Linked DNA regions of Canis lupus familiaris. Each later gene encodes a partner of the first gene's protein in a complex. Links are inferred from orthologs where the notes say so. Each region holds a gene or a part of one and is shown on either strand. Other genes may lie near its edges. The genes, in order: creatine kinase B-type and ASB9.

The links.
Region 2: the proteins of creatine kinase B-type (region 1) and ASB9 are in contact, whole or in part, in a cryo-EM structure (PDB 6V9H), measured with the Homo sapiens proteins. The link is inferred for Canis lupus familiaris from reciprocal best matches to the Homo sapiens genes CKB and ASB9. Residues at the interface, in NP_001814.2 of Homo sapiens: Asn63, Pro64, Gly65, His66, Pro67, Tyr68, Ile69, Thr71, Arg130, Arg132, His191, Val198, Ser199, Pro200, Leu201, Leu202, Leu226, Trp228, Glu232, Ile238, Met240, Asn286, Arg292, Gly303, Lys304, His305, Glu306, Lys319, Arg320, Gly321; in NP_001026909.1 of Homo sapiens: Leu25, Asn27, Pro28, Leu29, Met30, Gly31, Asp32, Ala33, Val34, Ser35, Asp36, Trp37, Pro39, Glu42, Ile45, His46, Trp60, Ala67, Asp68, His69, Glu75, Ala100, Asp101, Trp102, Val111, Asp133, Leu134, Ser165, His166.

What each region holds. Positions count from the first base shown.
Region 1 is NC_049229.1:71,688,374-71,692,654, forward strand, and holds the start of creatine kinase B-type, read right to left. Parts: upstream 2,939-4,281; 5' UTR 2,778-2,938; intron 2,483-2,777; 5' UTR 2,455-2,482; coding exon 2,262-2,454; intron 2,061-2,261; coding exon 1,906-2,060; intron 1,832-1,905; coding exon 1,699-1,831; intron 1,468-1,698; coding exon 1,296-1,467; intron 590-1,295; coding exon 466-589; intron 272-465; coding exon 82-271; intron 4-81; coding exon 1-3. UniProt on the Homo sapiens protein: Reversibly catalyzes the transfer of phosphate between ATP and various phosphogens (e.g. creatine phosphate).
Region 2 is NC_049260.1:11,556,984-11,560,785, forward strand, and holds part of ASB9 (ankyrin repeat and SOCS box protein 9), read right to left. Parts: intron 1,457-3,802; coding exon 1,306-1,456; intron 1-1,305. UniProt on the Homo sapiens protein: Substrate-recognition component of a cullin-5-RING E3 ubiquitin-protein ligase complex (ECS complex, also named CRL5 complex), which mediates the ubiquitination and subsequent proteasomal degradation of target proteins.

The DNA.
Region 1 (4,281 bases):
CACCTGGGGAGACAACCAGGTCAGCAAGGCGGGTGGGGGCCTGCTCCGGACAGAAGACTGCCTACAGCCCGTCCCACTCACCTGTGCCTCGTTTCTGAAGCCGCAGCCGCTTGAGCACCTCCGGGAACTTCTCGTGCTTGCCCAGGTGGGGCAGCTTGATGTGCACACCTGCCCGCAGGCCTGTGCCCAGGTTGGATGGGCAGGTGAGGATGTAGCCCAGGTGAGGGTTCCACATGAATTCGTAATTCTTTGACTTGAAAAGTGTTTCAATCTGGAGGTTGACAAGAGAGGAGAGACCTGGTTGAGAGGCCCGCTGGGGGGACCAGCTGGGACCCTTGGAGCCAGGGAAATTGGTGGGGACACCCACATCCCTGCCTGAGCTCTGGAGCTCTGGAGCTTGCCCTGCCCCCTCCCTGGCACCAAAGCCCACTTGTGCCAGCCCAGCTTGGGGCAGTCAGGCCTGACCTGGGTGAGGCCGTTGCAGAACCGAGTGAACACCTCCTTCATGTTGCCCCCTTTCTGCATGGAGATGACCCGCAGGTGGTCTTCCTCGTTGATCCACACCAGGAAGGTCTTATTGTCATTGTGCCTGGGGGAGGGGCACAGTCAGGCCGCCTCCTAGGACTATGGTCTCAGGATACATCCAGAAAAAAGCTCTAGGGGGGCCTGAGACCCCAGGAACTCTCCAACTCCCTGAGGTGCTCAGTCCAGCTGTACCCAGATACTTGGGCTGCTGCCAGGACCCCAGAGCCATCCACACTTTGGAGGTATGCAGGGAGGCCAGGACCTGAGCTGTGCCCCAGCCTGCCAGTCATTTGCGGTGTGACCCAGGTGTGGGGGAGGGGGCGGCGGCTCCAGTGAGGAGGTAAGGGGCAGGGAGACGCGTCATCTGGCGGCTGAAGCCGCCCTTCGCAGACCCTGGAGGCAGGAGGCTGTAAGCCTCCCGCCGCCCCCAACCCCCACTAGGAAGCATCTGCGTCACCCAGCACCTGGCAGTCCCCGCGGGGAAGGGGATGAGAAAGGAGACGCAAAACAAGCTCCAGCTCCCAAGAGGAGAGTGGAGGAGAGAAGCCGACGCCACCCGCCGCCCACTTCTAAGATCCCGCGAGGCCTCGGCCTCCACTAGTTGGAGTCCCTTCACGTACCTGCGCGGTCAAGGTCACCTACGAGGAGGCCCTGGAGGCACCAACCTGTCCCAGGAGCGCGGCCCCTCCCTCTTCCTCCTTGGCGGCGGCGTGGGGGAGGGCCAAAGGGAGGAGGGAAGGGGACCCGCGGGCGGGGAAGGGGGCACACACCAGATGCCGCGGGCGTCCGGCCAGTCGCGGGCCATGCCCGAGGCCAGGAGCAGGGGCGACACGGGCTTATCGAAGAGGAAGTGGTCGTCGATGAGCTGCTGCTGCTCCGCCTCGGTCATGCTCTTGAGCGCGTAGTACCGGCCGGCCAGGTCGCCGTCCAGGCTCGACAGAGCTGCAGAGGGGCACGCTCAGGAGGGCACACTCGAGCCCCTGCCCCCAGGGCCCCCCGGCTCTGTGGGAACCCGGCCCAGGCCGCCACAGACACGGGGCTGGGCCTCCGTCCCCCCGGGAAACCGGACCCGGCGCGCAGATAAGAGCGTGGCAGCGGAGGCTCGGGTGACTGCGGTGACTGATAAACAAGCCGGATGGGGGGTGGGGGGCAACCGGCCGGCCCGACCCCTACCTTCCACGGCGAGCTTCTCGATGGCACGGCGCTCCCCGCGGCTGCAGTGCGGGGGGAGGCAGAAGCCGCGGATGCTGCGACCCGTGCGCACCCGCGAGCTCAGCACATAGTTGGGGTCCAGGTCGTCGCCGCCCTGGGGGCGGGAGCGGAGGTGAGCGCCGGGAGACCCCTACCCAGCCCGCCCCGCTACCCGGGGCCGCTCCGCACCTGCAGGTTGTCGGGGTTGAGGTCGGTCTTGTGCTCGTCGCTGGGCTTGTAGCCGCCGTGCCGGTCCTCGATGATGGGGTCAAAGAGCTCCTTGAACACGTCATAGGACTCTTCGTCGCCTGCCACGCAGCCCACGGTCATGATGTAGGGGTGGCCTGGGGGAACACGGAATGGGGACAGTGATGTCACTTGCCAGGCCTAAGCGAGGCCCTCAGGACCCCGCAGCTCCGCGCGGGAAGGGGGCGCCGAAACCCTGGCCTGAGAGGGGTTCTGGGGTTAGCTCTGGATCCTAACCCCAAAGGCTGTCTTACGGATCAGGGGGCCGCACCCAGACCCCGGGCCCCGGGCGCGCGTACCCGGGTTGTCCACGCCGGTCTGGATGACGTCGTCCAGCGTGAAGCCGCTCGGCGTGCTCTTGGCGCGCAGCTCCGCGTAGAGCTCGGGGGTCAGCACCTTGGCCATGTGGTTGTTGTGGGCGCTGAGGTCGGGGAACTCATCCTCGGCCGGGAAACGGAGCTTCAATGTGTTGTGGCTGTTGGAGAAGGGCATGGCGGCGGCGGCGGCGGCGGGCGGCAGGCTGCGGGGAGACTGGGGGGTCAGCCAGGACCCGGCGCGTCGGGCCCCCCGGGACCTGCGGGCCACCCAGGGCCTCGCCGCCCGGGCTCCTGGTCACCCTGGGACGCGGCCAAGGTCAGCAGGGGCCGCAGTGCGCGCGGGGCGCTCGCGCTCCGCCCAGGACCCCAACCCCAGGCCCAGCCAGCGCGCGCTCCAGGCGGCGAACCGTGGCGTGCAGGACTCCGCGGCCTACAAGGCCCTTCCCTGAGCAGCGCCCCCGCCCCCGAGCACAGGCGGCCTCGGGTGGCACCACTCACCGGGTGGCCGGGCGGGGAAGGGGCAGTCGGTCCGTCGGCAGCTCCGGGCGCGGCGCAGGCGAACAGCGGCGGCTCCGCGCTCCCGCGGCTCTTAAGGGGCGCGACGCGAGCCGCCCATTGGCCGCTATTTATATCCCATTCATTCCATTGGCCCGCGCTGCGGGGTGGTGCCGCCGCTTTGTCCGCCACCCGCGGCCCCCAACAACCCCCCAAGGCCGCCCACCTCTGCTGTCCCCTCGCCGGGACCCCGCGCAGCCCGCCTTCCCCGTCCGGCGCCTGCCCAGGACCCCGCTGCCGAAACCTCAGGCCCTTGGACGTCCTGGAAATTCCCTCCCACGCTGCGTCCGGGCGGGAAACTGAGGCAGGAGAGCCACTGGGCGCTTGAAGACGCTCGGGCTCCTCTGCATCCGGGCTCTGGCCTTCCCTGGTCCCGCCAGCCCCCACGGTGGTCGCGACGAGGGTCCAGGCGTGAGCGTCCCGGGCTCTCGCCGCAGGTACTCGCTCCTCCCCCACCCTACCCCCGCCGGGTCGGAGCTGCACCGGAGCCGCCGACCTTCCTCAAGGTGCCCGCAGGCATCTCCCGGGCGATCTTGGTGCAGAGTGAAGGCACGCGGGAGGCGCAGTCTGGCTGGGGCCCAGCGGGGCGGCGCCCGCGGTGCCTTGACCTTGGGCAAGTCCCCCAGTTCTCGGGAACCCCAGCCAGAGACCCCCGGGGCCAGCCTTTCCTGGTAGAGGAGAGAACACTGTGGCCCTGGTAGGCCGCTGGGGAGTGCACAGTCTCAGAGTCTCCAGACCCCAGCCCTGGACGGGGGACAAGTTCATCTCATCACCCCACCCCCAAAGGCGGTCCCCAGAGACTCGGCAAAGATGGGAGGAAACACTAACAAACAACAAGCATATGTGAGATTTAGAAACAAAGGAAAATATCTCACTGAAAATCAGAATCCTCCAAATTAAAACAACAAGGACTGTACCTTCCTCCCCTCGCCCCAAGCACACCCAGATGGCAAGACTGTGAAAGACTGACACCAGCCAGTGCTGGCTATGGGTTGGAATGTGGAGACGGCATTCACACACTCCCTGCAACTGTAAACTGCCACGTCCTTTTTGGAAAGTAATCTGGCAGTATCTATTAGAATTAAAAATGTTTGTACTCCATGACCCAGCAATCCTATTTCTAGGAATCCAGCCTGCACAAAGGACAGTCTCATTCCTCTTTGCAGATAGAAATGTGCAGTGGGAAAAGCAAAGGCACGAATGAACTTGGATAGAACTCGATGCCCATCACCTGGGGACTGACCAGGGCTAGGAAGGCATGTACCCAGCGTGGGAGTATTACACAGCTATTTTTTTGTTAAGATTTTGTTTATTTATTCATGAGATACACACAGAGTTAGAGAGAGGCAGAGACACAGGCAGAGGGAGAAGCAGGCTCCATGCAGGGAGCCCGACACAGGACTTGATCCTGAGTCTCCAGGATCACACCCTGGGCTGAAGGCGACGC
Region 2 (3,802 bases), on another chromosome or scaffold:
AATGCCACACCTCAAACATCGCTCCTCTGCCTTCCTCTTTGCATAAAATCATTTGAGTTCCACGCATCTGGGGAAGATGCTGAGTTGACGCATCTCTTGAAGAAGAAACGTCAATGCTTTGGGAGATTGTGATCCTACGGATGGATTCGGTCAAATAGGACTGGGGAGCCATTCTGTGAAAGCCACCGGGGAGGTAAGACCCTACTGGCAGCGTGCGGTCAGGATGGGGATGACGGCGGCAATGGACGCTGGGGGGAAGCAAAACTTGCCATTGTATTTTTTGTGTCCGAGTTAAGAATATCGGGAAAGCTGTGACTTTATGAAAAAGAATTACCCCAGGGCCGCCTGGATGGCTCAGCGGTTGAGCGTCTGCCTTTGGCTCAGGGCGTGATCCTGGGGTCCTGGGATCGAGTCCCACATCGGGCTCCCTGCGTGGAGCCTGCTGCTCCCTCTGCTTGTGTCTCTGCCTCTCTCTCTCTCATTCTCTCTCATAAATAAATAAAATCTTAAAAAAAAAGAATTACCCCAAGCTGAGTAAGTGCTGGGGATCTCATGTCCAACATTATGCAATAATACCAATACTGTATACTTGAAATTTGCTAAGAGGATACATCTTAAGTGTTCTCCCCACACGTAAAAATGGTAACTGTGTTTTCGTTAATTTCATTGTGGCAACTGCTTCATAATGTGGGTGTCTATCAAGTCATCATGTTAGTACACCCGAAAGAAATACAACTTTGTCAGGTATACCTCGATAGAGTCAGGCGTGGAGAATTACCCCCAGCCGTATATGGCACCTTATTTTCCAAAAATCCAAAGTGTGTTTCACTTAAAAAACCTAGGTGGCCCCGAGACAATATTCTTTAAGGCCCGAAAACAGAAGAGTAGAGGGTGTTTTACAAAATAATTGGATTTATACGGGGTCATGGGTTCAACAGTATATTCCACAAATATGCATGGATAGTTCTACTATGTGCCAGACCCCGTTCCAGAACTACAGCAGTGAACAACTTTCCAGATGCTCCGAAAGGGTGGTTCCCAAACTTTCTGTGCATCGGAATCACCTAGATGCTTGCTAAACAAAACACGCATGGCCGGGCCCCACCCCGGAGTTGCTGATTCTGTGTGTCTGGCGTGGGGGCCAAGAGTCTGCAATTGCACGCCAGGCCAGGCGGATGCTTCCGGTCCCAGGACCTCACACTGAGAAAAGGTCCCTCAAAACCACCCCTCCGCTTGCTTCGTCCTTGCAACAGTAAGATGTCTGCGGAAGGAGAGGCGGAAAACGTAAATTCTCCATAGATTTACCTCTCTTAGCAGCTTCGTGGATGGGCGATGCCAGGTCACTCACGGCGTGGGGGCTGGCCCCATGCTGCAGAAGCAAATTCACACAGTCCTGGCTGCCGCTGACGCACGCATTGAACAAAGGGGTGTGCCAGTCGGTGGTAACGCCATCCACCTGGAAAGAAGAGCGCCAGGCTGAAGGCAGGTGGTGGGGGCCCAGGGTTCAAATCTAGCCTCCACTCCTGTCAAGCTGTTATTTGACTTCCCTGAGCCTCCCATTCCGCGGCTATAACATGACGACAAAAATAGCAAATTCCAAAAACAACAACAACCAAATTCCACAAGGTTGTGAAAAACCGAATGAGCTGAGGCACCGAACATGTTGCCGAATGTTCTATCACTTCCACGCCCCCAGGAACAGGAATTCTGAAGCCAGTTGGGATGATCCTATATAGCTTACAAACTCCTCTCCTTGTTTTAAATGTTCCACCCTAGACCTGTCCCACACCAGTCCAGTGTCCTTTACAGTAGTGAGAGGAACGTATTATTAACGTTACTTTTTTTTTATTTTAAAACATGACTTTCACAGAAATATAGGGTGAATACGTGCCAAAGATTTCCTTCAATTCGTTCATTAGGGAGAGAACCAGGAAGATGGTAAGGCTGGCTCAAAGGGGAATTTATATAGTCAGTCAATTAATGCTGAAATAAATTTGCTAACAGATACAAGACTGGCTACCGTCCTTCAGGGCCAGAAAACTACAGTCTTTGGGGCCATCTTTCCTAACGTGGGAAACCTGACAGAAACTTGCAGTTCACATCTGACTTCACAGTGTCTGGGCTATAACCAAATAGGGAAGAACAAAGCCAAATGCAACTTTTCTACACTGTTAAGAGAAACTATACTGCAGACGAGAAGAGCCTTCTTACAAACCATTTCCAAGGAAGGCCAGGACTAGTGAGGCACAGAAGATGTCCCGGGTGCAAAGTTTAAGGAGACCCTCCCTTCCAGGCCCACGCAAGTGCTCAACAACCCTGAGAGGCAGTGGCTCTCCAGAGCTGGCATCCTAGGTGCCCTTAGGCCTCCCCTGAGTCCTGGTCCTGTTTCCACACGTGGAGTGGGTTTTCTCAAACCCTATATAAACCCGATGATGCACTCACCGATGGCTCTCTACTACTGCTCTCAGGACAAAGCCCATTTTCCTGGCAAGGACAACAAGGCTGTTTGTGTGCTGGCCCCTCTTACCCACTCTGCTGCCATAAGGAGCGATTTGAAATTTATTTTTTTTAAATTGCTCAGTTTCACTTCCAGGCCTTTACAACAGCCCTTCCCAGTGGGCGGGAAGCACACAACTTGCCCCAACCCACCAGTCAACTGGCTGATTCCAATAGATCCTTTGAGTTTCAACTTAGACATCATTCCTCCTAGGAAGCCTCTTCAGACTTCCTCTCCCCCATCACAGCACTCACTCTTGCCACACGGTGGTGGTTTGCAAAAATGGCCACACATTCTCCGCACTGTCTGCATATCCCTTTGCCATGTAGCAATGCAATTCCTGCCATCAAGAGATGGAGACTACTTTTCTAATCCTTGAACCTGGGCTCACCCATGGGACTTGCTTTGCCCAGTGGGACGATGGCAAATGAGAGCTTGCCTTCTTTTTGATGCTCTAGGCATCCCTGCTACCATGGGAACCAGGCCAGGCTGCCTGTGAAAGGATGAGAGACCACACAGAGATTTTGTCACCCCAGCCATCCCAGCCAAGGTCATTGCGAAGCGGCCCTCCCCAGCCAACCTGTCAGCTAACCTTCAAGGCCTAAGTAAGCCCGGCTGAGGTCAGCCGAACCAGGCCAGGTCAGACCTATCTGGCTGGCACAGGAACTGTGAGATAAGTAAATGGCTGTTGTCTTAAGTCATTCAGTTGTGGTGGCTTGTTACACAGCCAAATAGAACAGGAAGAAACAATGTTTGGTAACTGCCCGCTGTGGCAGAGATGTGCATCCGACAAAGCTACTTCCGCTCGCTCTCCGGGGCACACAGCCAGACTACACTCCCCAGCTTCCCAGGCCATGAGACAAGTTCTGGCCCATGGGATGTGGGGCCAAAAGTGACATACGTCACGGCCAAGATAGGCCCTTAAAAGTCCTCTGTGCACAACCCTCCACATCTTTTCTCCTTCCAAACTCCTGGAGTGGAGGTGACTACTAGTAGCATATGTGGAAGTCACTTGTTGAAGATGGTGGGGTGACAGGATGAAAGGAACCTGTGTGCCTGAATCACCCCCAGGAAAGAGCCACCCAACCAGGAACACCCCCACTGGAGTTTCAGTTCAGTAAGAAATATGCTTGTGTTGTACCAGGCCACCAAGATTTCAGGTTTTATCTATTAATGTGACGAGTGTGATATTTGTTAATTCGCCTATTTATCTGGCTGGGTCCTCATCTAATTTATAAGTTCCTAAGGATCTTCATCCAGGGTTAGGCATGTAACAAATGCTCAGGAAATACAGGTTGAGAGAAC